Linked DNA regions of Tamandua tetradactyla. The protein of the gene in region 1 interacts with the protein of each later gene in a pairwise test. Links are inferred from orthologs where the notes say so. Each region holds a gene or a part of one and is shown in the gene's direction. Other genes may lie near its edges. The genes, in order: LDOC1, MFAP1, ZBTB16 and LATS1.

Evidence for each region.
Region 2: the proteins of LDOC1 (region 1) and MFAP1 interact in binary tests that used the Homo sapiens proteins (3 or more experiments, as listed by UniProt). The two-hybrid records come from large-scale screens. The link is inferred for Tamandua tetradactyla from reciprocal best matches to the Homo sapiens genes LDOC1 and MFAP1.
Region 3: the proteins of LDOC1 (region 1) and ZBTB16 interact in binary tests that used the Homo sapiens proteins (3 or more experiments, as listed by UniProt). The two-hybrid records come from large-scale screens. The link is inferred for Tamandua tetradactyla from reciprocal best matches to the Homo sapiens genes LDOC1 and ZBTB16.
Region 4: the proteins of LDOC1 (region 1) and LATS1 interact in a two-hybrid assay, tested with the Homo sapiens proteins (2 studies listed by BioGRID and IntAct). The two-hybrid records come from large-scale screens. The link is inferred for Tamandua tetradactyla from reciprocal best matches to the Homo sapiens genes LDOC1 and LATS1.

What each region holds. Positions count from the first base shown.
Region 1 is NC_135353.1:16,899,021-16,905,022, reverse strand, and holds LDOC1 (protein LDOC1), read left to right. Parts: upstream 1-4,126; 5' UTR 4,127-4,246; coding exon 4,247-4,687; 3' UTR 4,688-5,492; downstream 5,493-6,002. UniProt on the Homo sapiens protein: May have an important role in the development and/or progression of some cancers.
Region 2 is NC_135340.1:58,064,173-58,072,078, reverse strand, and holds the start of MFAP1 (microfibrillar-associated protein 1), read left to right. Parts: upstream 1-4,884; 5' UTR 4,885-5,046; coding exon 5,047-5,125; intron 5,126-7,906. Other genes in the region: WDR76 (WD repeat-containing protein 76), read right to left, coding at 1,675-2,073, 2,731-2,787. UniProt on the Homo sapiens protein: Involved in pre-mRNA splicing as a component of the spliceosome.
Region 3 is NC_135334.1:26,938,970-26,946,834, reverse strand, and holds the start of ZBTB16 (zinc finger and BTB domain-containing protein 16), read left to right. Parts: upstream 1-4,857; 5' UTR 4,858-5,052; intron 5,053-5,564; exon of another isoform or gene 5,565-5,863; intron 5,864-5,936; exon of another isoform or gene 5,937-6,123; intron 6,124-7,865. UniProt on the Homo sapiens protein: Acts as a transcriptional repressor. Transcriptional repression may be mediated through recruitment of histone deacetylases to target promoters. May play a role in myeloid maturation and in the development and/or maintenance of other differentiated tissues.
Region 4 is NC_135328.1:141,250,550-141,257,709, reverse strand, and holds the start of LATS1 (serine/threonine-protein kinase LATS1), read left to right. Parts: upstream 1-4,153; 5' UTR 4,154-4,384; exon of another isoform or gene 4,385-4,700; intron 4,701-7,160. UniProt on the Homo sapiens protein: Negative regulator of YAP1 in the Hippo signaling pathway that plays a pivotal role in organ size control and tumor suppression by restricting proliferation and promoting apoptosis.

The sequences.
Region 1 (6,002 bases):
TCCCAGGAGCCCAGTGCATTAATTTTGTCCAGTGGAAAGGCATGTGCTTTAGGGTCAGAGAGGCTGGGTTGTGGTACAATGTGGCCAATATTTTTGAGTCCTGGTGTGTTGGTTTGAAAGGATTATGCACCCAAGAAAAGACATGGCTTAATCCTAATCAAATCTTGTGGGAGCAATGTTTATTTATTTATTTTTTTTTAAAGGAAAGACAGAGAGAAGGAAGGAAGGATAGAAGGAAGGAAGGAAGGAAGAAAGGGAAACATCTTTTAAACATTTTCTTGTTTTATTGTATTTTGTTTCTCTTTGTTTTTGTTACATGGGCTGGGGCCGGGAATCGAACCGAGGTCCTCCGGCATAGCAGGCAAGCACTTTGCCCGCTGAGCCACCGCGGCCCGCCCAGCAATGTTTATTTTAATCCATATTCAATAATGCAGGCTGGTATTCTTTGAGTAGATTATCTATGTGGAGCTTTGACATACCAATTATGGATATTAACCTTGGTTTAGAGGGAGATGTGACTCCACCCATTCCACGTGGGTCTTAGAAGCATTTTGGAAAGAACCATGGAGCAGAGAGTCCAGGCAGCCAGAGACCTTCAGAGATGAAGAAGGAATACACCCCCGGGGGAGCTTCATGAAAAAGGAAGCTTGGAGAGAAAGCTAGCTGACATCGCCATATTCACCATGTGCCTTTCCAGTTGAGAGAGAAACCCTGAACTGTATCAGCCTTTCTTGAGGGAAGGTAACCTCTTGCTGGTGCCTTAATTTGAACATTTTTATAGACTTGCTTTAATTGGGACACCTTCATGGCCTTACAACTGCAAACTTGCAACTTATAAAATACCCCATTTTAAAAGCTGTTCTGAAATGCTAGTGATCAATGAAAGGGAGGGGTAAGGGTTGTGGTATATATGCATATTTTTTCTGTTTTAGTTTTACTTCTTCTTCTGAATAGATGCAAATGTTCTCAGAAATGATCATGATGATGAATATGCAACTATGTGATGATATTGTGAATTACTGATTATATATGTAGAACGGAATGATCAAAATAAGAATGTTTGCTTTTGTTTAGTGTTTTTTGGTATTTAAAAATGAAACAATAATAATAATAATAAACAGCTGTTCTGTTTCTGGTATATCATATTCTGGCAGGTAGCAAACTACAATACCTGGCCTTAGCCAAGTCAGTAACTCCTGGGTCTCAGTATCCTTGTCTAATAAGAATAGGGTGTAGTACCCACCTCTGTAACATGGCCTTTGTGCATGGGTTGATTTGACAGCCCAGGTCAGTCACACGGCCCAGTACCTGTCACAGCTTGTGTGTTCCTGGGAGTAGAACCCTGGGCATTTCTTCCATATCAGAGCCTGGACCTAAAAGGTAGAGCTGGACATTTGCCTCTACCCCAGCCAGGCTCTTGTCTAATCTGACCTGTGAATGTGCAGGATGGCCAAAAATCTTCCCCCCAACATTTCAGATCCCTTTATTCCATCCACTGAACATATATGGCACACCTAGTAACACTTTCAGATGATGAAGATGAAAGGATGAAAGAGAGAGGGCCTTTGCTCCGCCCTCAAGGAGCTTATGTCTAAGGGGGGAAGGGGTAGATCATATCACAGGAGGGCTAGGGGTTCACATTCCCACTTACTTCTTCTTTTCCCTGCCCACCCTCTCTCCTAATGACTCTTCTTTTCCTTGCTACTTGAAACTTGACCCTGTTTCTCTCCTCTCTCCCAGCCTCGCTTTTCCAGGGGTGACCATTCAGTTCTATAGCAAAAGACTGAACAAGGTTTTAAAATATCCAGTTGCAATTTTTATTATGCCAATTCTCACTTCACGTTGGAATGATTCATGATTACAGATAGAACATATGGGATAATTTAAAGAGTATTTTTGGATACTGTGCAACCATCACTTCTAATTTTTATCTTTACACCTGTACCCTGAGCTTCCTTCCCTACCCAAACATTCAAGGAGCACCTATTCTGGGCCTTAGGTTTTTCTCAGCTTTAGGGACAGTTACAGCTAACAAAGCAAAATCCCTGTCTGCATGGAATTACATTCTAAAGGTGGAGTCATAAAATGATAAAAGTGCTACATAATATGATGGCCACTGGTGTAACTAGTGCTATGTAGAAAAATGAAGCAGGGTAAGTAGCAGAGGGCCAGGCGTTCCAATAGACGGAGTAGTCAGGTAAATCTACTCCAAAACTAACTGGGGAGACATCCTTCCAAGGTAGAGGAAATAGCAAGAATGAAGGCACTCAACTCAGCAGGTGAACTCACTGCCCTCCCTCCCATGTGTGGCATGACTCCCAGGGGTGTAAATTTCCATGGCAACGTGGGACAGAAATCCTGGGATGAGCTGGCACTTGGCATCAAGGGGGTTGGGAGAGCCTTCTTGACCAAAAGGGGGAAGAGAGAAATGAGACAAAATGAAGTTTCAGTGGCTCAGAGATTTCAAACAGAGTCGAAAGTTTATCCTGGAGGTTATTCTTATGCATTATATAGATATCCCTTTTTAGTTTATGATGTATTGCAGTGGCTGGAGGGAAGTACCTGAAATTGTTGAGTTGTGTTCCAGTAGCCTGGATTCTTGAAGACAATTGTATAAAGATATCACTTTTACAATGTGGCTGTGTGATTGTGAAAACCTTGTGGCTGATGGCTCCTTTTATCCAGGATATGGATAGATGAGTAAAGAAAAGAAAGATAAAAATAAATAAATAATAGGAGGGCAAAGGATAATATAAATTGGGTAGATGGAAATACTAGTGGTCAATGAGGGAGGGTAAGGGGTTTGGATTGTGTGAGTTTTTTCTTTTTTCTTTTTATTTCTTTTTCCGGAGTGATGCAAATGTTCTAAAAACGACCATGGTGATGGATACACAACTGTGTGATTATATTGTAAGCCACTGATTGTACACCATGTATAGAATGTATGTATGTGATTGTATACCATGTATGGAATGCATGTGTATGAAGATTTCTCAATAAAAATATTTACAAACCAACAAACAAAAAGAATCAGCTAGGACAGTGTGGTTAGAGCAGAGCTAGGGATGGGAAGAGACTGGAGTGAGTCAGAGAGAGCCAGTGGCCAGTCACTGACAAGTTAGTGCCCTGGAGGCCATCCAGGACTTTGATTTTTATTCTGAGAGGGGAAACTGTTGGAGGGTTTTGAGCAGGGTGGGTGATGGGATATGACCTTTGTGCGAAGGCTTTTTGTGGCTACTCCGTGAAGAATAGACTGTCAGAGATCAAGAGTGAAAGCTCAGTGATCATTTGAAGCCCTCTGAGTAAGAAACGAAAGCTTGAATCAGGGTAGTGGAAGTGGAAGTGATAAGAAGTGATTAAATTGGCGATTTATTTTAAAAAGCAGAGCCAAAACGCTATGTGCATTCTAAAGTCGTGGGCCAACTGAATTGCTCAACAAGTTTGAATGTGATTATTCAAAGAAGAAACGCAAAATCATTTAGAAGCACAAGCAGCTTATTCATTGCTAAGAAATGCATAATACCCGTGGTCGAGGGGCATTACTAATATTAGACTATGAAATAAAGTCTGCCTGCAAAAGATTATCAGATGCTGATTTTGCAGAAATTTTTATACCGCACTATTAAGAAAAAGTTAAAAAGGAGGAAGTGTACAACATTATTTTCTAACTCCAGAAAAGTCCCTGCTTAAATACCGTTTTCTTCATGTCTCTGTAAGGATTTGTGACTCCCGCAAGACAAGCACTTCTGTGGTCAGTAGGGCCAAATCGATAATCTTCTGGGTGAGTCTATATTCAAAAGCAGGGAAATGTGTTAACAGAACTTCACGCAAATGGAATCTGGTGTCCGCAGATGCACGAAAGAAAACTGAATTGTGCGAGGCAGTCGAAGGTGCGGTGGGATGGCTAATCTTTTCAACTTGAGCGGGTCTGCCCTCTGAAGTAAGGTCTTCCTGCCCTCTGGGTCCTTGGGTTCCAGCAGGGCGCCGCTTCGGGGCTTGGCTGCAGTTCAGCGGCGGTTCCCAGGGTCGGCCGGCCCCTCCTCTGACCACACCCTCCTCGCGCCGGGCTGGCGCGCCGACCGCCCTTGAGGCCTTGTGGGCGGGGCCTGCGCAGCCGCCTGGCCCCCGGCGCGCACCACCCTCCGCCCTTCTTGGCGGCGCGTCTCGGCGGACACGCACTTCCTGCGAGGCTTCTGTGTGGACCTTGACCGAGCCGAATCGAGTGGACCCCTCTGAGCGGTTCGCGATGGTGGACGAACTGGTGTTGCTGCTGCACGCCCTCCTGATGCGGCATCGTGCTCTGAGCATCGAGAACAGCCAGCTCATGGAGCAGCTGCGGCTGCTGGTGTGCGAGAGAGCTAGCCTGCTGCGCCAGGTACGTCCGCCCAGCTGCCCGGTGCCCTTCCCGGAAACGTTTAACGGCGAGAGCTCCCGGCTCCCCGAGTTTATCGTGCAGACGGCGTCTTACATGCTCGTGAACGAGAACCGGTTTTGCAACGACGCCATGAAGGTCGCATTCCTAATCAGCCTCCTCAGCGGGGAAGCCGAGGAGTGGGTGGTTCCCTACATCGAGATGGACAGCCCCATCCTTGGTGATTACCGGGCCTTCCTCGATGAGATGAAGCAGTACTTTGGCTGGGATGACGGCGAAGACGACGACGATGACGATGAAGATGACATTTACTAGGCCCAGAGAGCCCAGGGCCTAGGGTAGGGGGTTAGATGCCCCCGCACGTCGCCGCCACCCTCCTCCTCTTCTCCTTCCTCTCCTCTTTCCCCTCTCTGGAAGCCGCCACACTCCTCTTCTTGCTCTGGCCCTCTTCCCTCCCCCTGCCCAGTCCCCTCGTAGAGCTTGCCTTTGTTCAAAGGAGTGCTCCAGTTACCTGCTGCTCTGAAGTGCTCTACCTGCCTTTCCACTCTGCCAGCCCCAGAACCCCTCCCCTGCGAATATGGACTGTGTCCTGAGCCCCAGTGGTGGGCCAGGTCCCTGCGACACACTGGACAGACAACACCACAGCGGTGCTGCTGCCAGGCCTGCATCTGCCCAGAGACCTACGCTGCCACTTCACCTGCACACATCACATCGCCACAGATCATCGCCTTTGGAGATAAGGACCAACCTCAAAGCTGCCTGAGTTGGCTACACCTCCTTGGACGCTGATTTGGACAGCCCACCAACCCCAGAAGAGGGCTAGTGTTTCAGCCTGTTTTGTTTCCTACCTACTCCCAGAGTCCTCCCCTGCCCCACTAGATTGCTGCAGGGGCCTCGTATACGTGGTAGCCAAATCGTGACATTCTTTTTCTCCTGCGCACCCAGTCTTGCACACTTGTCATTTTTCTTCCAAAATTGCAGCGGTCCCACAGATGTATGCATTTGGACAAAAAACTAAAAATAAACCAAATGAAGGAAAACAGGCTCTCAGCCCTCCTCCTCAGTGCTACCTGGAAAAAACCTTTTCATTCTTTTCAATAAATATCAAGCACTACTAAAAAAAAAAAGAAATTATTGTCTCTTAATGATTAAGTGCTATCACTGATCTTTCTCCCTTCTACTCTGGCTTCCTGTATTCCCACTGAGATCAGGTAACCCAGTTTGGTTACAGCATTCCTTACTGTCATCTGTAAGGCATGGAAGACAGCCACCACGGGGCTTTATAGGGATATTGGTGCTCTCCTCACCAAGGTATTTCTTAAAGCCTTGGTGAAGGGAGTGTCCTCTGGGCCCTCTAGGGTGGCATGGGTGGCTGATAAGGTGGCACATCATCCCACACACGGACAGTTTAGAGAGTGAAAGGGGAGGCTATTAATAATTAGACTTGTACCACAGGCGTAGACCTGGATACATGTACAACATTCCTATTTCCTTGATCCCTTTTGGATTCCTTTCTCAACACTGCCAGGGAAGTTCTGGACACTACTCCTTATTGCTTCTGAGCTGCAGCTGAGTTCAGGCTTCAGTTATCCAAGTAACATTGTTTTAATGCTATTTTCAGGTGCTTGAG
Region 2 (7,906 bases), on another chromosome or scaffold:
ACAATATTGGACTAAGGTTAATTTCTTAGTTTGATAAATGCTCGATTGTTGTAAAAGATATTAACATAACGGGAGGGAGGGTGAACGTATATGGGCGCTCTCCGTACTACTGTGCGACTCTTCTGTTAAGTATAGAATTATCTCAAAAGTAACTGTTAAGAAATTCTTTGTGAAATGAAAATATTTAATAGAAGGGGTGGGAGATAAAATTTAGAAAATTTCCAAGAAATTAGTACAAAATCTTAGACTTGCAGGCCAAGACTCTTATCTATGATATGACAAAAGCCTCTCTTCACTTGGAAAAGGATGACCTTATAAACTAAAGCATGGTGTCAGAAAGCCTTAGTCATTTTATTTCAAAAGGACATTTAATACAAGGAAAGACAACAAAAGAATGAAGTATTCTATAAAAAATGTTATATATTGCAGTTTGTCCTAAGAAAATTTATACTGGGCATTTATGACTCTGCTTGACTATATTGTACACACCACCTCATGTTCTAATTCCTCACATCAAACTAAAATCTGCCAAAGAGATCATTTAATCCAGTGGTTATCAAAGTGCAATTCCAGACTAGCAGCATCAATGTCTCTAGGACGTGCAAATTCTATTCCCTACCACAAAACTTCTGAAATCAGAAACTCTAGGGTTGGGACCCAGCAGTCATGTTTTGACAAGCCCTCCAGGCAACTCTGATAAAGGTTAAAATTTGACAACTACGATCTAACCCAATCTTCTCATTGTAAAGGTAATTTGCCTAAAGGCACACAGTCTCTTAGAAGTTGAATGCAGAGATCCCAACTTCCAAGTGTCCACGTGTATGACTCACCCAGTGCTCTCCCACCATAGGTCCTTTCTCACCTCTGGGACAATAAAGCATAAATCTAATTCCTAATTCATAACAACAACGCTTCAATTATCATACCTTCCTCTCTCTACCATCACTTTTTATTCCCCTAGTTCCATCAACCTGCTGTCATGTGCTATGGTCTCAATTTGGCTTAAGTAAAATTTGTCACTGAACAGAGCACAACACTCCAGAAAGGTAGTAGAAGCCAAAGGAATGAGATACCTAGTTCCATAAACTGATTCAAGCTATTATTTTATACAGAACTGATAAGTGTTTCATCTGTCTCTGTATTTGAAAGGAACTATTACTGAATACATCAATGCAATTAATGATGGTTTTCCTACCCTTCCATGAAGGCTCACTCAAATGTCACATGTCCCACAAGTTGACTTCTTCTAATATACGGGTAATGTAAAGGTAAAATAAGTAAAATGCCATAATTGAGGACAGACCATGGTGGCTCAGTGAAAGAGTTCTCCCCTGCCATGCCAGAAACCTGGGCTCAATTCCCAGTGCGTGCCCATGACAAAAAAAAAAAGCTATAATTGAATGTGTAAACCCAAAACCATATGCAATAACCTGAGAGGGAAGCAGAGTGAAGACTGAAAGTCAATCTCTCTTCAACACATCAAAACCAAGAGAAAAATTAACCCAAGGAACTAACTGGTTAAATATTTTTAAAATAATAAAATTTCAATTCAATCCATTAGATGACAAAATAATTTGTTTGGCCAAGAGAGACCCTTGATAACCTTAACTTCTCAGAACCTCAAATTTCAAAACAATAAGAAAAATTAAAACAAACAACTAATTAAATTCTTACCAGGCCTGGTGTGGTATCTCCATCACTGTCTCGATCCTGACAGCTTTCCACATCAACACTGAGAAACACTGCATCTGAAGTGCTCGGCAGTAACTTGTTATTTTCAGTATGAACATCTAAGGATGATTTTTGCAGAGTGGATTCTGCCTCGGAAGTGGTTTCCATATTTGGAGTTAAAATCCCTCTGCAAATTTTCTTTATTTCAGTCTTCTTACACAGCACTACTTCCTTGTTAGAATTCTTTTCTAATAGGGATTTAGAGTACTTAAATTGGTCTAGTTTGTAATTACAGAGTGAAAAGGGGATAAGACAAAACTTAACTGATTTTCCTAAAACTGGAGACTGAATTGGTCTCAGAGATACAGAAGTGATGGTTTCATTTTCTTTATATTCATTCACCTATTCAGGTCAGTAAAGGAAAAACAGTATTAGAAACTCAGGTCTTACGCTTTTTCTTACAAGGTCCCCAATAGATCTGTAAAAATAAATCTAATTCCTATATCTTAATCACAATATAAATCCAAAGTGATAAGCTGTAAGAAAAACTTTTCTTCCCCTTCAAAATCGATACCTAATTCATTTAACTGAATGTAATTATTATACTAGCCCATTTCTTGCATATATGAGTTTGTCAGAGCAATAATTAGGACTACAATTTTTAACTGACAAGACTATCCCAACTGTCAGCTTCTGAAACTTTAGAATTGTTTACTGTGACGCTGACAATAACTACAAATGCAAACGCAGGGGGCAGGAGAAAAGGAGTGCCTAATCCGATGTGTGCCGCTATCTCTGAGGTTATTGACAAGAACTTTTCTCAACACTGAAGGCCTAGTTTTCCACAGAGAAAAAACATAGCAGGGAATCTCGCTTATCTTTTGAAGCAACACCCCCCAAAAAAGCCCAGCAATCTGCACCCAGGGCGGGGAATAATTTAAGAGCGCAGAAGTACCCTGGGCCATATACCCGTGCTTTCGGGCCTGTGCCGGGAAGATTGCCTCAAGAATACTGAAGGAGAAGAACACCAGAAGGTGTCAACCCGATTCTCACCCTTACCTGGGGTCGCTGCCTGGAGCCCACCTCCTCCCCAGACGCCGCGCAGGACCCGGACATGTTTCGGACACGTTTTGGCTCTCAGCAGCTGGCGCCTTCCCGCCAACAGATCGGCGGGAGGCGGCGGTGGGAGGGGCCTGGCCGTGAGGGGCGGAGCCCGGCGGGTGCGAGAAGCCGCCCCGCGCCCCCCCCCAGGCGCTTCCAGGCTCAGGTGTCAGCTGGCCGGGCGGGGAGGACTGTGATCAGCATTGACGAAGGCAGGTTTACCTGCCTCACCCTAAGATTAAAATGCTTTAAGGATGCGGTGGGACCTAATCGGCAGTTTTACCTTGAATGCCGGTGATTTTAATTCTGGTATTGCCGGGTTCTCGCTTTGAAAAAGTAGCTCATTTGCCTTGGAGATGTAGCCTGGGAAAGACTGAGAAGCACCTAGATTGGGTGTGCAATGTAGGGAAGGTACAACAAAATCAACATGCAGCCTATACCTTGGCCCACTGGCTCCTTATTACCCCATCACCAACTTAACCTACTGCTACTGCAGGATCTTCTCCCTACGAAGGGAAGCATTTTGATTTTTTTCAAGGGCTGATAACTGATTTAAAATTCATATTTGACTATCTTCCTACCGGTTAACCATGACCCTAATGATGACTTTAAATGGCCCAGAGGCTGGAAAGAAGGAGTTACAAATCAAATAATTTGTGTATCAAACTATAAGTTGCAGGGGTGCAAGAGTAGTTCAAAGGTAGAATTCTCGCATGCCATGCGAGAGACCCGGTTGATTCTGGCCCATGCACTTCCCAAAAACAAACAAGCAAGTAAGCAAACAAACAAACAAAAAACCAACCAACCAACCAAATTCAAGAAATGGTGCTGCAATAATGGATGCTCACACACATATATATATATATACACACAAATTACAAGATTTTAGTGCACTGTATTTCTAGTCATATCCATATTAAAACTTTTTTCTATATTTTGAGTTACTATGAGCCAAAACAATTGCCTTCCCATCAGATTTACTCCCTCTTGATACCATAATTTTTTGAGTTGATAAATCCATTAATAGAAAATTGTCTTTAAGGCCCTTTTCATCCTAGCCCCAAATTGCTCCCTTGATTGGTTACTTTGGCCACCCAATGTCCTTTGCCCAATTTCAATTCTTCTTCCAGACTAAGCTAAGTTTTAGAACACAGATGAAATAATTTGAGAATTAATCATATTAAAGCATCTTTCAAGTCTCTCCATGATCTGATACTCACACAACTTTCACCACTCTCATATTAAAAAGTTACTAGCAGATAAACCCAAACTTCATGGTATCCCACAGGTACCCTGTAATTTTTCTCTTTCCCGCCACATTATTTCCTTTGTCCCCTAAAATGTGTTCTGACTTCCAATTAGCCATTTTTTAATACAACGTAGCTAGTAAATTGGGGCGGTTTCTATTATGATTCTAGATGTCCTTGAAAACTTTCAAATTAGAATCCAAGCAACATAAGGATGCCAGTCTTTTAATATTACATACTCCTTACGAACAGCTAAGCCTGGTGAACACAGTTAGTATTCAATCATTACTTATTGGCTGTTAATCTACAAACACTTTCCTGCAAAAAAAAAAAAAAAGTATTCTAATAGTCGTCCTCCAGAAACTGAAAGAACCTGAAAAGCCTAAAATGGAGTGCTGGAATTTCAGGTATTTTCCTAGGCGCTTCGGGATTTTTTTTTTTCCTTGCAACTGGCCAAAACCACCACCACCTGCTAGCGTGTGACCTAAATACCATACCTCAGGCCACCACAGCCTCATTAACTAAGCTAATTAAGATGCCATTATTAGCAGGATTACTATCCGGACCCAATTCTAATCCTTCTGAAATTTCAACAATCAGGACAAGCAACCCCTCACTATCTCCTCAATTTCTCCTTCATCACTACACCATTACCCTCGGCTTCAAACCAAGATAACAAGCGAAACTTTTGATTCGGACCTTCTTCGTCGCAAAGCCTAAAGGAAGCAATTTCCCGCCAGAAGCGGCTTCCAAATCCTGCAATATTGAAGACGCGAAGTCAGTCTATGAACATGCGCAGTAACAGATTCGCCCTCCTAGGCACAGGCGCCCAGGCGTCCTCCAATATCCCACAATCCTCTGGTCACATATTTCCGGTTTGTCTAGCCCAGACGCAAGTGGAGTTTCCCTCAGTCTTGCACCCGCGTCCGGTGGACCTAGGGGGAAGTTTTTTTCTTGTTGGTTGACGTTGTCGTGTTCACTGTTTAGAATCAGTTAGGTTCTGGGAGTCACCGCCGCTGCCATCAACATGTCGGTCCCAAGCGCACTCATGAAACAACCGCCCATTCAGTCTACGGCTGGAGCCGTTCCAGTTCGCAATGAGAAAGGTACTGTGCTGAGCCTCTTTGCAGTGGGATCTTACCTGTTTCTGCCCCAGCATCTTCCCAACCCATCCCCCGAGCCGACCACCCCAACCCTGCCGACACGTCCTCCAGTTTCTTCGACCTTCCCACCTTAAACTCGCACCTGATCGCATTGTCTGGGGAGATGGAGTATTGGGGGGAGGGGGGGCAAAACCACTTGTATCTGAGCTTGTTTTTATGGCCTGCCTGCTTTTACGTAAAGCACCTCTCTTCCCTTGGCCTCCATCGATTCATAGACTAATGTATACTGAATGCCTGCAGTTCCTTTTTTATCCCACATGGTAGCTTGTTAATGTTGTTATTATAACTTATCAAAGATATTTATGCGCCTGTTTCCCCTTTGCTAGATCATAATTTTATAAGCTCCTTGAGGCAGGAACCATGTCTTATTCAGCTTTACATCCCTTTCAACGAATGCAGTGGCTGTGCTTATTAAATTGAATATAAAGTGGTGTGGGGCAGTGCCTATAACCTTCAAGAACTCATATTCTAGTAGACGTAAGACATGCAAAAAGAGGCACATTCTAAGCAGTGTACAGTCTTGTGGTTCCTGTCCAATAGGTATAAACCAAGTGCTGTGGAACAGCCAGTTTTTTCAGTAAGGAAGTTGGAAAATATTATCAGTTCTTTCTTTTTTGCTTTATAAGTATACTATACCTACCCCTGTGCCGCTTGCCTTTCTTTTTAAATAACATGACTTTTGAGAATTATCCTTCCAGTACACATAGATTTAATTAATTTTAACTGCTTATGAATTACATGACAACTAAACTATAGCTTACAAATTACAAACAGTGCTACAGTCATCATTCTTAAATGTGTGAATGAGAATTTCTCTAGGGTAGACTCCTGGAGTTCATCATCAACTTTACTACCTATTGCTAAATTGATCTCCAAAATGGGTTACAAGGGAAAAAGAGTTTTTATTTCCCCATGTAGTCATCCATACACTTAGTTGTATCAGATTTTTAAATTTATGTTTAATAGTTGTGAAATGGTAGTACAATACTTTAATTTGCATTTCCCTGATTACAGGTGAGACTGGGCATTTTGCTTGTGTATTTTTCAGCTCTCTGGGTTTTATCTTCTGTGAATTACATGTTTTTTTCATTTGCCCATTTTTTGTTTGGTTTTATTTTCATACATTTCAAATCTGTAATGTCTTTTTCCCTCTTTTTTTTTTTTTTGGCTCTTCTTGTAACTTTAATTATGGAGTCTTCTGTTACAGAAATATTTTTAGTTTTAGTGTAATTATATATTTTTTATGGTTTATGCTTTTTGTGCATATTAAGAAATCTTTCCCTACAATGAGATCATAGATATTCAGTCTCTAAACGTTTTCTAACATCTCAGTGTTGTGTGTATAATGATACAAATGAGTTAAGGATCTTACAGTTTAGTAGGGGATGTAAATGTTTTAGATTTTTTCATGTTTGGGTATTTAATTCATCTGAATTTTGTCTTTATGTGATGTTAGGGGTACATAGAGACCAGCAGAACAGAAAGGACAGAAAAGACACGTCTGAGAACTTGCTGTATTGAAGTAGTATTAAAAATTAGTGGGAAATGAAAATAAAATGGGAGAGTTGGAAGGTGGGCCACGGTAACTCAGTAGGTAGAGTTCTCACCTGCCATGCCCAAGACCCGGGTTCCATTCCCGATGCCTGCCCATACCAAAAAAAAAAAAAAAAATCAGTGGGAAATGGATGGGCTATTCAGTCAATGGAGTGGGGACAATTAGCTAACCATATGGTAAAAGGTAAAATTAGATCCCTAACTCATACCACATACAAACAAAATTCCAGATGAATTAAAGACCAAAGTATGAAAAACATCTTAAATATTTACATCCCCTACTAAACTGAAAGATCTTTAACTTAGAGCCTATTTGAATAATTGTGCATATAACACTTATATGTTAGAAAACCTTTATAATCTGAATATATTATTTAAATATTATAACTTTAAATAAGCCTTGCTCTGGTACAGGGAACCTCCACATTATGTGGTACAGAGGACCTTTCATTTGTCTTCAGAACCGTCTTGGCTCTTAGCCTCCCTTTCCATATGATTTTCAAATCAATCTGGGGAATGGAACTACATTAAAAATTGTAAATTTATAGATTAACTCAGGCATGGTCACCGTCTTCTCATGAACATGATGTATTTCTCAATAAAACATTTAATTAGATCTTTCATATCGCTCAGTAAAATTTTTTATTATTCTTCCTAAAACCTTGCATCTCATTTCTTGAGTTTTATTCCTAGGTTCTTTATAGATTAGTTGCTTTTATAAATTATATTTTTAAACTACGTTTTCTAACTATATGAACCAATGTACAGATAAATTCATTTTTATATGTAGGTCTTTTATTCAGCTCTCTGAGCTTGAACTTTCTGGGCTTGTCTATCTTGTATTTTCTACATAGAGAATCATATGGTTGTAAATTATGGCAGTTTCTTTCTTTTTAGTCCTTACACCATTTATCTCTTCCTTTTTCTTCTTGCCCAACTTAGAATCATAATACACTGTCGACTAGAAGGTGTGATAGGAACAAAATAAGAATACCCTCTGTTTTTCTAAGTTTAAACCATCCCCTGTAGTCCTGAGCTAAATCTTAATCTGTCATGATGGCTTGAGGTTTTTGTTTGTTTGTTTTTATATTGCTGGAATAAATTTGCTTTATGTTTTTTAGTATTTTTTGTATCTATGTTCATAAATGAAATCCACCTTATGTTTTCCTT
Region 3 (7,865 bases), on another chromosome or scaffold:
TAAAGACGACATGGGGTTGTATTCCCGGACTCTGGTGCTGCTGGTGGTCTCTCTGAGGAGTCCCTTGCCTTCCTAGGCGCTTCCAGGCTTTGTCCATAACTATAGGACTCCTGTTAGAAAACAGGGGCTGTTAAAAATGAAAATTGTTGTATTGAAATCCATAAAGGGAAACAAGTTAAACAGAAGGCTATTTAAAGTTAAACAGCATAAGGAAATGTTACATACTTCCCCTCTTCCTAGCCACCCCCCACCCGCCCCCCACCCCCAAAGAAACACCAAAGTGTTTTTAAAAGGCCGTTTCAGATGAGAACTTGGGGGTTAATTTTCAGCACAGTGTCTGTGGATTTAGCTGTGGGACTCCCATTACCCATAATGGGAATCATGTGGCTTCATTTCATGCACACTGTATGGAAAATGCATCCCTACCCCTTGGTAGCTACAAAATTTTGTTTTTAAAATCGAGGCTGTCTTTCTTGGAACAAAGCAGATTTCCAAAAACACCCCAAACTCCTCAATGTTGGCCCGGGGCCTGTGTGTTTGTGCTTATGTGGGTATGTGTATCCAAAAGAGAGAAAATGCTTTTTTTCTAAGTCCGTATGCTCTCTTTCAAAGACAACAATGTTAAAACATTATGCCCAATAACTGACAGCAGAGGTTGCTATGCCTCACTCCAAAGCTCTGTTAGGAACCCCATAAAACCTGGCACATGGTTTGTGACACCCAGTGAAACACTGTGCATCTTCCATAATAACCTGAGCCCTGCTGCCTATCATTAAGGGACCTCTCTTATTAAGCATCTTTTTTTTAAATGGCTGCCATCATCTGGTCCCAGTGTACATTAAATCCCATTATAATTATAAACACACTTCCCCATAACATCCGCTGCAGATTTCATCCACACTGCCTACCCCCTCAGGGCATCTTTGCACTAATAACAACTCAGATTTGCTATTTGAGTTGACAACATTAAGTCCCAACACCATTTGCAATATGCTGGAGAGAGAAAGAGAATGAAAGAGAAGAAAAAGCTGTCTCTTCTTCAATCATGAGGATCTCGGGGTCACTGTGACCCAAAGCCCTAGGGGCCAAAAGAAATAACCCCTCTTCCTTGCCCTCTGAGCAACTCTCTGCCCTACGGACTAGAGGGAGGGCATATTTAGCAAGTGGAAGAGAAGGCCAAGTTTGTAAATACCGCTAACCAGAGCTCCTCAGGGAAAAGAGGGATGATGGCACTGTCTAATCAAAGGAGCCATCTTTTTATTTGGTTTTCTGGCCCTCAATTAACCAGAATCCACACACCACCTGATTATTTGCCTCCGTTTCTTTTTGAGGTGGCATCTAAGGAAGTAATATGAAAGGCCTGAACTCCACAAACAAAGAAAACTGCCAACCTATGTATTGGGGGCAAATTATACTGGGTCTATTTACTTATTTGTTTTATTTATTTATTTGAGTAGTGGTAGGCTTACTGAAAAATCACCCATAAAGTACAAAGTTCCCAAATAATCAGTCCCCTTCAGTTTTCCCTATTATTAACATTTTGCATTAGTGTTAAATACCCCTGTTACAATCGATGAAACAATATTATTATAATTATACTATTAACTATAGTGTGCAGTTTATATTAGGGTTCATTCTTTGTGTTGTACAGTTCCATGGTGGTTTGTATTTTTTTTAATTCTGGTAACATATATGCAGACTTAAATTTCCATTTTATCCACTTTCAAATATACAATTCAGTGGTGTTAACTGCTTCGCTGTGTTGTGCTACCACCATCATCATCGATTACCAAACCTTTTCCATCACCCCAAACAGAAACTCTGTACCAATTAAGCAATAACTCTCCATTCTTCACCAGCACCCTAGACCCTGGCAACCTGTATTCTAGTTTCTGACTCTATGAATTTACATATTCTAAATTATTTCATATAAACATACAACATTTGTCCTTTGCTGTCTAGCTTATTTCATTCAACATGATGTCTTTTTTTGGGGGGGGTGGTGGGGTGCATGGTCCGGGAATTGAACCCGGGTCTCCCGCATGGAAGGTGGCCATTCTAACCACTGAACTGCCCGTGTACCCTCTTTGGTATAATTTTTTTTTACATGACCTGCATCTATCTAGTAGATGTCTGGAGTGGTGACACTGCAGCATTGTAAGATCCTTTGCCTCCAGGAAAGGACACAATAGGCTTGCTGTGTCTCCCCCTAAGAGTCCCTACTGGGGTAAAGATCTGAGAGTAGAGTGACAGCTTTACTCCAAGGGCCACCTGGAGTTCTCAGTTGAGTGGGGGTCTATTCTTTTCCATTCAGAGGCTTCATTGCCTGCACCCTTCCCTGAAAATGCCTCATTCCCCACCCATCACAAGGTTTTGAGGGAAATGCCAAGTAGATTCTTCTCCCCCAAAGGTAGGCTTCCTTGATTCATTTATCATAATAAGAAAGTTTACATTTATACTTTAAAAATTCTTTCAGACAGGAGTTGGAATAAAAAGAGTTGTAGCATTCCATTAATGCTCAATCAGAATACTCTAAAGACCACTATAGCCTTCTTCTTGGGTATCTGTTTAGTTGAAGCTTTATTGTAATTCAAAACTCCCTCCCCCAACTTCTGCCTGAGATTCTGAAAAAGAAAATTGCAAAGAACCTTAGGGGATCTAACTCCACTTTACTTGGTGGACTGATTCAATGGAGAACTCTTTGGTTGTTAGCTGGGCTGGCTGCTGCATAGACCATGCCCTCAATGGAGAAAGAGGAGGATAATTAAAAGTCCTTGTTTGACTTTTGAAGTTTCCTATCTCGCTAGAGGCTGTGTAATACAGATGTTAAATGCATGAGATTTTCAGTCAGAATGGTCTGATTTAAACTCTGATGTTTTAATAGCTCTATGATCTTGGAAAAGGCTTTAGTTTTCTCATCTATAATAATAGTACCTGTGTTAATAGGGTTATTACAAGGGTTAAATCAAACATTGGTAGTACGTTTGCATTCATAGATCTGCAAGTTCTCTTAGACCAGGTGTACCCTCCTCTTCTAAAACTGAGCTCTGAAAGGGTGCCACTGGAGGGAGGCAGGAGGCGAAGGAGGACAAGAACGAATAGGAAAATCTAGCAATGGACCTCATTCTGTTTCCTAGTCTCCAGCATGATCTCTCTCAGGGACTGTCTCTCCTCCAGAAGCAATGTCCCAACTTCTCTCACAACACCCTTTAAAACAAAAATAAAAATTCATCACAAATCCAGGAACATTAAAAAGAAAAGACAGTTTCCCATAGTAGTTTTCCATCCTGTTTGTTTTTAGGTGTTGCCATATGAAATCTCTGAACTGCGGATTCTCATCAGCCATTCCAGGACCCAAGGACACAGCCTGGCTATAAACAGTGCCAGTTTTGGTGGGGAAGCTGCTGCTGCTTTATCTGGGCCCAATAAACCTTATCAAACTGCTGTGCAGCCAGCCTTCAGCCCTAAGTGAAAATGCTTGGAGCCCAAGGCTGGCATTCAGCCCACAGCCTTGCCTGCCTTTCCTCCTTTTTGTTACCTTCTCCACCTCTTAAATTCAGGCAGTAATCTCTCTTTAACACTTACTAACAAGGGCCAGGCTTTTTTAATGGGCAGAGTTTATGAAGCAAGCGAGATTTTCACATAGAGTGAATATGGCATGGGGGTGGGAGAGTCCAGGGCCAGGGAGGGATTGTTCTTTCTCTTCCATTGTTTCCAGAGATTCTCTCTTTCTCTGATTTGAGGATGAATAGGAGATTAGGATCAGGGGTTAATTGTGTGCTTCTCCTGCTACCAGATTGTGGAGGGGCTGGTAGGTGGATGTGAACAGCCAGGAGGCTCCCTTCTGCCTTCCACATCCAGAGAGCCCAGTAAGTTTAATGATTCTTCTTTCTGTTTCCCTAGTGAGACATTAGGAGGGTCTTTTCTCCTCACTTCCCTCCCCTCTTGCCCTCTGTGCAGAGCAGTTCTTAACTTCCTCTAAATTCCTTTCCTCTTACCCAGTGCACTGGCTATAGCTAGGAAAATAGTAGTCTCTAAATAGGAATTGCACATTATTGTTAATCAAAATTGAACACCCATGGACTGGGCTACACCATGCCCGGGTTTGGGGTGGTGTGCACACTATCTGAGGATAAGTGGTTCCCCGCCTGCATTTCCAAGGGGGCTTCCTGACCGGTCTTCTCTCCTACACAACCTGCTGCGTTTGAGTCCTAATTCAGCAAGTCTGAACACTTTTCTTGCAAGTAGGAGACAAAAGCAATACTTCCTGGGATGGAATGATTGGTGCTTGGAACTATCCTATTAGCAGTTCTTTGGTACCCGGATCAGTTCTGATATGTAAACTCTGCATTCTGGCCTTCTGAGGATGGATGCCGACTTTTGCCACCAGTCGGCTTCCGCCGTCTTCCATTACTCTGCAGCCTGACTCGACCTGAGGCAGTGCCAGAGGGGCGCGTCGGGATGTGATTATACGTGAGCCCAGTAGAAAACCTTCGACCCACGCGTTTCACCGACGGGTCCTGTTCCAGGAGGCGGTGATTGACGCCTCTCATTGCTAAGACTGCCATATCCTCCCGGCTGACTATCCCGAGACCCCTGGATGGCGCTCTCCAGCCATCCTCTCCACCCGGACGCTCTAGGGTGTTATTCCGCCGAAGCCTGGGCTCGGAGGAGCGCTTCCCACCTCAAACTATCTTCCCTTGCCCAGCAACAGGGAAAAGGGGAGAGAGACGCTCTCCGCCGCCTGAGGAAAGGCATGTTTCAGGGGCACTTAACTGGGGCGGCCAGTTGAGAGGAGGAGGTACATTTGAAGGGCCCAAAGCTTCTCCAAACTGAGCTTGGAGCAGGGCGCAGCCAGGTTCCTGGGGGGTAGAGCCGAGGGGATGTACAAGGCTGAGAGGGAGAAAAGTTTGTCAGGCCGCGAACTCGGCCTTCAGCGACCGCGACAGCTAAAATGGGTGGCTCTCCTCAACGACTGATCCCTGCGGACCCTCTGGCACTGGAATCACCAGGGAACGCAAATTCTGCGCCCGGAGACTTCTTGCAATCCAGGTGCGCACCGCCCGAGGCGCGTAGCTGGCGGGACGATGGGGAGCGTGGGCTTGGATTAGGAAGTCAGCCTTTTGTGTGTGTGTGTAAATGTGTGTATGTAGGCACTAGGGATACACCCCGAGTCCGGGGAAAAAGTGAAAGGCGAGAGCTGATACGCTGAATTGGAGCAAACTGGAACCCAGGATAAAATTCCAACCGGGAGCACCGTGAGAAAGCAGAACTCGTGTCCCTACTGCCCCCATCAAGCGTTCCGAGTGCCGTGCACTCCTCTCCACTCGCTCCTTCGCTCCTCTCGGTTAGATCGGCGAGCGGCGACCGCCGGCGCCCTAGCAGCAGCTAGATGTCAGGCGAAGCCCGGAGCGCGGAGCGCGGAGTAAGGGAGGGGAAGGGAGGAGAGAGGGGAGGGGAGGGGTGGGGCTGGGAGCGCGCGCCGGCTCGGCCAGTGTTGGGGGTGGGCGGGCTGAGCCCGGGGACTGCGAGCGAGGGGGAGGGAAGGGGGGCAGCTGTGGGCAGGGAGCCGGGCTCGGCCGCCAGCACTAAAGATGGAGAGGCGCCGGGGCCTCGCAGGGGAGGGGGCTCGACGTTGACGTGGGACGCGGCGGAGGCGCCGCAGCCGGTGGTGATTTGCTAACCTCGCAGCAGAGAGGAGTTGAGGGTGATGAGAGCGGGTACTGCGAACTGCCGGGCTATGCCGCCGCTGCCGCTGTGATACCGAGAGCAACAGTTCCCCAGCAACACCCTTTCCAGACACAGGCACACCCCCCACCCCACAGGCACGCACATCCACCCCACGGCGCCCGGCTCCGCAGCGGTGAGTGGAGGGTCGGGGAGGGGCGCACCGCCCAGCGAGCGCCGCGCACCCGGGCGCCCCGGGGCTGGAGAGGTCTCGGGGAGCGCGCTCGCTTCGGCCACTCGGCCGCTTGATTGTGCCTTATTTGCTTCGGCCTTTTTCCTTCCCTGCTGCTGCAGCCGTCGCCTCCGCCGGTTGGGGAGTCGGCTAGAAGGGGAGCCCGGGCTGTCAGTTTGGACGCAGCTGCTTCTTCAACCTCTCCCTTGCAGGGCACTGTCGGGGTGAGAGGTGGGGGACAGAGAGGTCTACTGGGGATAGGGTGGCTTTGTACCTTCAGGGGCAGGCGGAGGAGCCGGGATCTGGTGGGTGCTCATGTGTATGAGGACGGGTGCGCGGCCGCGAGAACGGCTTGTGGTTTATTTATTTGTGTGTTTATTCGCCCGCCGACGGGGAACCTGGAATCGGAGGATCAGAGGAGTGATTCTGGGGGTGGAAGGGAGCAGGAAAGGGACTCGCTTGGGTTTTGTTTCTCTTTGAGAAACGTGGTGGGCTCTTTTTCTCTCGCTCACTCTATTTTAGGGGGCAGTCACACGGAGCTCTGTAGGGTCTCCAAGGCCCTGGGCCCTCGGTTCTCGGCGGGACTGGCCGAGGGGCCGGAGCTCGCCGTGCGCTCCCGGCCGCGCTCGGTGGGTGCCTGGGCTCTGCACCTGATGCGTTCGGGATGCTTTTCTCACACTCGCGCACCGGCGGCACGCTCGCGCAGTCCCTAGAACACTCCTTCCCTCACACGCATGCAGGCACACACCGACTCTCGTGCGCTGGAAACGCGCACGATCCCGCCGGAACGCGGACCTCCTTGAACGCACAGACGCGCTTCACAACCACCTTCTCGTCCGCTCCGAGAGATGCTTGGAACCCCGCGCAGGCTGGCTGCTGGCGCTTGCCTGCACCCCGGTCCGAGTCTGGGGACCCTGCCCATCGCTCCCTGGGGGTGACGGCCCTGGGTGGGAGAGAGGAGCGGACGACCCCAGCTCGGTTTTTCTCCTACCACTCGCTGCAGGGCTTTTGTGCTTTCTGTGCGCTCCGGGGCGGGTCCGTCTCCTCGCCGCTCTCGCGGTGGCTGTCCAGCCCGCCTGGACTCTTCGCCTTTCAGCCACGTCTCTTTCGCTTTCCCTCCTTCTTAGTCCCGCGTCCTTTCTTTCTGCTGTTTGGCTTTCCGGGAAAAGTTGATTCCCCAAGTTTGCTGAAGTGTTCTCTAAGTCTGCGTGGGGGTCGCTGGGAACTGGGAGTGTGTGTGAAAGCACGACCGATCCTCAGGGATCGAGAGGTTTAGCGCCAGTTTTTTCCCGTGTCGCCGGGCTGGGCGCTGCAGCCAGCGCTGGCCTGATCGCGGGCGCCGAGCTGTGGGGTCGGGAGACATCTGACCAAGAAGCACCTTGATGTCCTTGGAACCCCAGAAATTTGTTTTGGCGAGGCAGTTGGGTAGCCAAGCTTCCATTTTTTCGTCTGCTTCCTTTTAGTTCCTTGATATCCCGAGTTTTGCTGGAAAGCTGGCTAGGGGCAGGTGAATGACCACCCTACTCTTGACGGCTTCGGCCCCCACCCCGGGGTGGGCAGCAGAGGTGTCTTGACTAGCCGTCCCTTTAACCCTCTCTGCCCGAGTGCTGTGACTGGAACCAATAGGTCTTCTTTTGGGGGCGGAGGCAAGCAGTGTTCTAAGAGCAAGTAAGAAACCTTGCTTTGCTTTGCTCCCACTGTGTTTGCTGCAATATTGACCACAGCAAGCCGCAGGTTGGGAGGAACCTGAGCCAGTGAAGTCTTTCTAACATTCCTTGAACAGGTTGGGGAGTCCTAGAGCCCTGTTAATGATCCCAGCCCGGCTCTGGGAGAGGCCTTTGTCTCTCAGCCTGTTTTCTCTTCATACTGGTTGTAAGGCCCTCTGTGGATGCTGGTGCCAATAGAGCTTCTAGCGCCTGGGAGCCATGTCCAGCTTCGCTGCCACTCCTGGTCACAGGACTTGCCC
Region 4 (7,160 bases), on another chromosome or scaffold:
TCACTTCATTTGAGAAAAGAGATTAATAAAATCCTGATGATCAATTTAGCACATTATTTCTGTTACTCAGGATTCTAGATGAGGGGTCATCCTATTTGAGACAAGTCTTGAGAAAATGAACAAGAAAAATCACAGGAATCAATTGTCTAACAAAGAACTGGAAACCTTGACTACACTTGCACAAATTAAGACATCTGATGTATAATGTGATGGGACCCTACTCTTCTGACCTTGATTTCCACAACCTGTGTGATTCCAAATCCTTCCCTTAGATCGTATGAGTTGGGGAAGGTTGATATGCTCAGGACCACATTGGTCTCCACACTTCATAGATGTGGGCTACCTCTTCCTTGGTACAAGCACCCAAGCATAAATTTGGCCCCCATTATCTATTGCTAATGACAAAATGAAACCACAACCACCCCCCATAAAACATTGAAGGGTTTTCTATAACAGCAAAAGAAAAACCTTCAAATGCAATGTCAGTCTTTGCCATTCTTACATGTCCAGCATCCCTTTCATGCTGCACAGTTACAGCCACTTTCCATCTTGTCAGTTGTACCTTCTCTCCTGATCATTCCTTGTCTCCTTTCCCTGATCTTCTCCCCTACTACTTCATAGTAGTAAATCTTCTCATAGTCCCACACAGGGCAATGCACTGCACTCCTTGAATTATCTAAAAATTTTTCTAAGGACAATGGTTTACAAATATAGGCTCCTTTAGGCTTAAAGAAAACCAAGGAGTTTAAGTGAAGAAGATTCTTAGATTGGTGACAGAGGTGACAAGACTCTGGGGGCAATAGGATCTTACAGATGTATACTGGTGATGGTACCACAATATTGTGATTGCTACTAATCTACCGAATAACACACCTGAAAGTAGTTAAAATGGGAAATTTTGAGTTATGTATGTTGCTACAATGAAAAGCTAAAAAAAAAATTAGACTTCTTTTCCTGATGTTAAAGTAACTAGTGGCGACTGTATCCAGAAATTCAAATGAAAAAATGCTTTTAAAATAAAAGATTAAGTTCCAATCTGTGAAAGTTAGGGGATATGACCGGAGGTGGGCCACTTAATAGCCCTAGGTGTTATTTTCTTCAAATGGAGGATTAAATAACATTTAGGTTCCTTTCGGCCCTAAAATTATATGAATTATATGAACTAATATATTCACATACCTGCTTGTCTTACTCAGGATTGTGTATCTGAATATTTTATTGCAGTAATATATGTACAACTCAACATTTCCCATTTTAACCACTTTCAGAGGTGCAATTCAGTAGTAACATTCACAATATTGTGTTACTATCACCAATATTCATTACCCCAACTTTTTAAACACCTCAAACAGAACCTCTGCTCTCATTAAGCAATAACTCTCTCTTCCCCTCCCTACCCCCTGGTAATCTATAATCTATTATCTGTCTCTATAAAATTTGCTTCTTTTAGGTATTGTATATAAGTAGGATCATACAATATTTGTCTTTTTGTGTCTGGCTTATTTCACTCAATGTCTTCAGGGTTCACCTGTGTTCTAGCACATATAGCACATATCAGAATTTCATTACTTTTTACAGTTGAAAAAGATCCCATTATATGTATATACATTTTGTTTATCCATTCATCTGTTGATGGACACATCCACCTTTTGGCTACCTTTGGGGATAACCCTACTATGAACTTTAGTGTACAAGTATCTGTTCAAGTCAGATACTTCCAGTTTTTGGGATTGTGCTGGTTTGAAGCTCTTACGTACCACAGAAAAGACCATGTCTTTTAATCCATTCTTGTAGGTATGGACCTATTGTGGGTGGGACCTTTTTGTTAGGTTATTTCAATTGAGATGTGACACACCCCATTCAAGGTGGGTCTTGATCCTTTTACTAGAGTTCTTTGTGACAGGATAAAAGACAGAAAAAGAAAAAGCCCAGGGATCTCATAGAGAAACACTCAGAGCTTGGAGAGAAAAACCCCCAGAGGACCTAAGAGGACCCACAGAGGAAGCCACTAGAACCAGACCTGAAGGCAACGAAACCTGGGACACTGGCCATGTGCCTTCCCATCTGACAGAGGTGTCTCAGATGCTGGCAGCACAGAGATACCTGTGCTCTGCGTTAACTGGGATGTTTTCTGCCGTAATTGGGATATTTTCATGACCTAAGAACTGTAAATTGTAAATTAATAAATCCTCATTGTAAATGTCAACCCATTTCTGGTATATATTGCAGCATAGCAAACTGACACAGGAGTATATACCAAGAAGTGGAATTGCTGGGTCATATGCTAGCTTATTTTCTTAAAACAAAAATTTTACTCTAACAGAAAAAGGAACAAAGGAGATATTTGAAAATGCTATTTGTATATATTTTCTAGGGCTGGAACTGGCAAGGCTTTGTTCACAAAGGGTGGACAGTGCCTCCAAACATCACAAACCCAGTGACTATTAAGCCTGAATTATGTACCGCAACCATATACAAGTTCTTCATCTTAGTCTACATTCCTGTAGCTGTGAACACATTGTAAACAAAACTTTAAGATGTTATTTTAATTAAGGTGTGAGGAACTGACACAGGGTGGGCCTTAATCCATATTACTAGAAGCTTTATAAAGAGAAGTTAGAGAAGCTCAGAGAAGGTCATAGAGCAGCCAGGAGCCAGAAGCTAGCAGTCAGCAGAAACCCAAGGAGCAGACACAAGGAGAGATCATCACGTGACAGGAGGCAGAGATGCAAGTCAAGGAACCCCAAGGATTGTGGCAACTACACAATTTGGGAAAAGAAAGCATGGTCTTGCTCCTGCCTTGAGTGTGGACTTCTAGCCTTACAAACTGTGAGCCAATAAATTCCTGTTGCTAAGCCAACACATTGTGTGGTATTTGTCATAGCAGCCTGGTTGTGGTTCATGTGCGGACTTGGTCAGGTGATGGTGCCCAGTTGTGTGGTCAAGCAAGTACTGGCCTAACCATTATTCAAAAACATTTCCTGGCTGGTTTATAAACCAAAAGACTGGTTTATTAAATCATCAGTCAGTTGACTGCATCTGTGGCTGATTACACCTACAATCAACTAAAGGAGTATCTTCCACAATGAGAAAATCCAATCAGTTGAAGCCTTTTAATTTAAAGCAATCAGTTGAAGATTTTTAAGGGAGAAGAGAGAACCTTCATTTCTTCAGCAAGCCTCTCCAGAGGCTTTGTCGGAGTGGCCTGTTATCAACTGGCCCTATGGAATTTGGACTCATGCATGTCTCACAGGTGCATGAAACACTTTTATAAAATTTCATATTTATAGATATTTCATTTTGGTTCTGTTTCTCTAAATAACCCAAATAGATTGGCAAACTAAGACACCCACTGATCCTATTCCAAACTTTCAATTCAACTTAACAGGAAATAAAACTCACATCCCTCACTCTTATTCTAATTATAGCAATATTACCTCTCTTTCTATCTAAATGGTGGACAAAGATCTAAAAGCTGTTCAACAATTTGCCGTGATCAAGGAAGGTATTATTTGGCTGATTTCAGAAAATACATATTCTTGAAGCTCAAAGGTGTATTAAGGGTAAAGTATGATAAACAAATCAAAGCCTCTAGAAATCCTGAATCTGATGTCCACAGCGAGGTTTCAGAATGCAACTCACTGCTGTTTCCTTCTTCAGAGAATTAAGCTCCTGAAGACCGATCCATAGAAAGAACTCTACAGATAAAAGAGAAAGATCGAAATAGAAAGGGGTAGGCATGGGCGGGGGAAGGGCCTTGTCCCACAAACGGGGCGAATCATTGGACCGAAAAAGGCAGGCGCCACATGGGCGAAGCTCACTGACTTGCAGCAGAGAGGCGCCGGCCGAAATCTGGAGTTCCGGGTCCAGGAAGACTCATCCAGGACCCGGGCTCAGGGGTAGGGCCCGGGATCGGAGGTCCATAGGGCCCGGGTGCTGGTTCCCAAGGTCAGAAGGTCTAGGGATCCGGGGTCACCGGGTCTTAAGGGTTTGGTCGGGGACCCGAGTCCTGGGAACCTGAAGACCGGACCGGGGTCCACCGGCATCGCGCTCGCTCCAGTGGAGTCTGGCTCTAGGGTGCCTGCCAGCGAGATCCCGCCAGACCTGACCGCGCAAGCGACGCCGGGAAATGCCCACATCCGGGAAACCTGCGGCGGCGGCGACGGAGTGGAAGGCAAAATGGCGACGGTGGTGGTGGCGCTAGTGGCCTGGTGCTGAGCGGAAAACCAGGTGCCCGCGACTTCGCGACGGGTGCTGCCCGCCTCTCCTTGTCTGCTCCCTCTTTTCCTCCCGGGATATTTGGGGCCCCGCAACGCGCTCCGGCAGCCTCGGTGCCCGCCACGGGCCCGTGGCCGCTGTCCAGGAGTCCCGCTCTCCCCTGCAGGTAGGTCTGGGGCGGTATAGCGGGTTCAGCTTCCTCTCCTCCCAAGCCCTAGTCTATGGGGTTGTGGCCGCCGGTCTACGCGGTCCCCGCTAGCTTGGGTCCAGGGGCTGCTGCAGGCTGGCAAACCGAAGGCCGGAGCCGGCCTGTGCGGGCCGAACCCGCCTCTGGCGATGGTCGGAACCGATCCTTGCCCCGGGAACCCGCGCCTGGCCTGCAGGGAGAGCCTCCAGGCCTTGGGCCTCCGAGGAGCCGCTCTGCCGGGCAGAGCCTGCGGTGCCGGTGGCAGCCGGCGAACTGTCAGCCTGCGCTCTCTTCCGCCCACCCCCACGCATGAGTCCCGCGTGTCTGTCTGTCGTGACCAGGGTGGAAGGTCAAGAGAAAACAGTAAAAGAGAAGAAGTTATTCTAAATCTAGTGAAAAGTAAGTATAGTCTCACTCAAAAAAAAAAAAAAAAATACTGTTGTATCACTTCAGCTTTTAAAATGGATTTGAGTGCCCGGGAACATGAAACTTGTCAGGCTTTTACAGATTGTTTATGGAAGGTTAAAAATGTTTCATTTCCTCCAGGAGAAAGAAATTATAATTGAAATGGATATTCTGTACTACGATACTAAGGTTTGTAATTGTTTTAACTCAGAATACTTCTGTCCTTTAATACATTGACAGGTAAAATGGGCTCGTTGATTTCCTAAGGCAGGGGAGGAATTTGACTGATTTAACAGTAAAAGAAGTAGCATTGTGCTCTTCTGATCGGCTGCTAAGGGAGAAACTAGATCATGGCCCATGCGGTGGAAAGAACATTCTTTTTAATCCTACCTATTGATTGAATGTGCTTTGCTATTCTCTAAAAGCAAGTAAAAAAATTCTTCTACTAACATTTTTTTTGTACGATATCGGGATTCCAACCAATATTTAATTTTTGTGTGTAATGCTAGTCCCTGTTCTAAATTATAGTGTTGGAACAGTCAGAACTCTGGCTACTTAGTTTTATCATTCTAAATGTTATATTTAGGTCAATGAGGGATTTTTGTAAATCACAAGATTTTTGTTAGGTAAGAATGGCAATCAGTTTTTCAGTATGAAGATAAATATAGTGATTATTTTCAGTTTCAATCATTAATTCTTAGAAAATGACTCAAAATGTCAGTATTGCATAAATTCAAACAACTAAGACGATGAAGACTTATGCTGCTAAGAAAGAAGCAGCACATATTACTGCTGATATTCTCATAACTGATCGATTTGAAAAATTGAGAAAGGCCATGTTTTTATAATCCTAGTGCAACCCAATGTAACTCTTGGAAATCTTATTATGTAACAGTTCCAGTTTTATTCCTTAGCATTGGCAAGATACTCAACAGTATTTGTTTGCATTTACTGATGTTTGTACTTTTGATGAAAGTCTGAACTTTCAAGGAAGTGGAGACTTTAAGACTGTTCATTCTAACCAATTTAAGTAACCCATCTGTGAATGTGCGAGTCATGACCCTACCCTCAGGAAGCTCAGGATGTATAAAATAACCTTGGGCTGGGCCAGGTTATGTGGAGTTTATATGTAGAGTCCAGCTGGCTATAAGATCTTGGGCAGGCCACTTTGCTTCTCTGGATCCCTTTCCTCATCTGAAAATGTTATTTCCAGTATACCCTATACTTTGTGAATGTGTGATCTAGTTTGAAAAATAAAACAAGAACATGAATAGAACAAAAAACATGGTCATATTTATTTAAACTCATGTAAAGTGCATTTGGAGTTCAGAGGAGAATAACAGTTGGGAGTTCAGTGAAAGCTTTAGTGAAAAAGGAAGTTTTTGGATGGGGCCTTGAGGATTGGGTATAATTTCTTTAAAAAGAAATATGGCAGGATGCTACAGTTTGGTACCATTTAGTCCCATGGGTTTGAAATCCAGAAACAAGTGTAATCTTTTGTGATTTTAAAATGACTGTTAAAGGAAAGTTTGTTTTGTTCCTTTGAATTTGGTGGGGAGGAGTCTGCTGGAGAGCTTTGCCCTGGTGTTTAATGCTTATTGTGAGAAGTGGAACCACAAAACCATAGAGCATGTAAAGTGCCCCAAAATTAAAATGGAAGATTTAATTTAGTACAATTCATTTACCATTATTTATAAATATCAGTAAGTTGCACTGCTATTAGTAATTAAAAATAAAAGCAATTGGTCATAGTTAAAAAATAAATGGTAGGGTTCATGACCAAAAGGGGGAAAAGAGTTGTAACAAAATAAGGTATCAGTGGCTGAGAGAGTTCAGATAGAGTCAAGAGGCTATTCTGGAGGTTACTCTTACACAAGCTTCACCTAGATATTGTTATTTACCATGGTTTGCCAAACCCCAACTAAAACCATTCCTACCAGCCCTAAAAATCACCCAGGGCTTTATTGGAGATTCTACAAAGATTCCATGCATTATGAATACTTTTCAGAAACCTACAACCTCCAGAGGGATTCCTAGGCCAGATAAGTTCTAAAACCCAGAGGAACTAGCCTCTCCAAGAACATCAACTAGTTCCATACCCCTATCCCATATTATCAACACCCCTTTCCAACATGAGAAACTTAGAATGGGCATAGCCCAAATACCCCTAAAGATTGGGAGAATGATCAAAGGAGAAGGTGGAATTTTAACAGAGAAGGTAGAATGAGTATGATTGCTGAATCATTACATTGATATTTCTTTTAGTCTCCCAGTGTCTTGGAGCAGCTAGAAGGAAGAACCTAAAATTGTGGAACTGTAACCCATACCAAACTCTGGAATCGGTTCTATA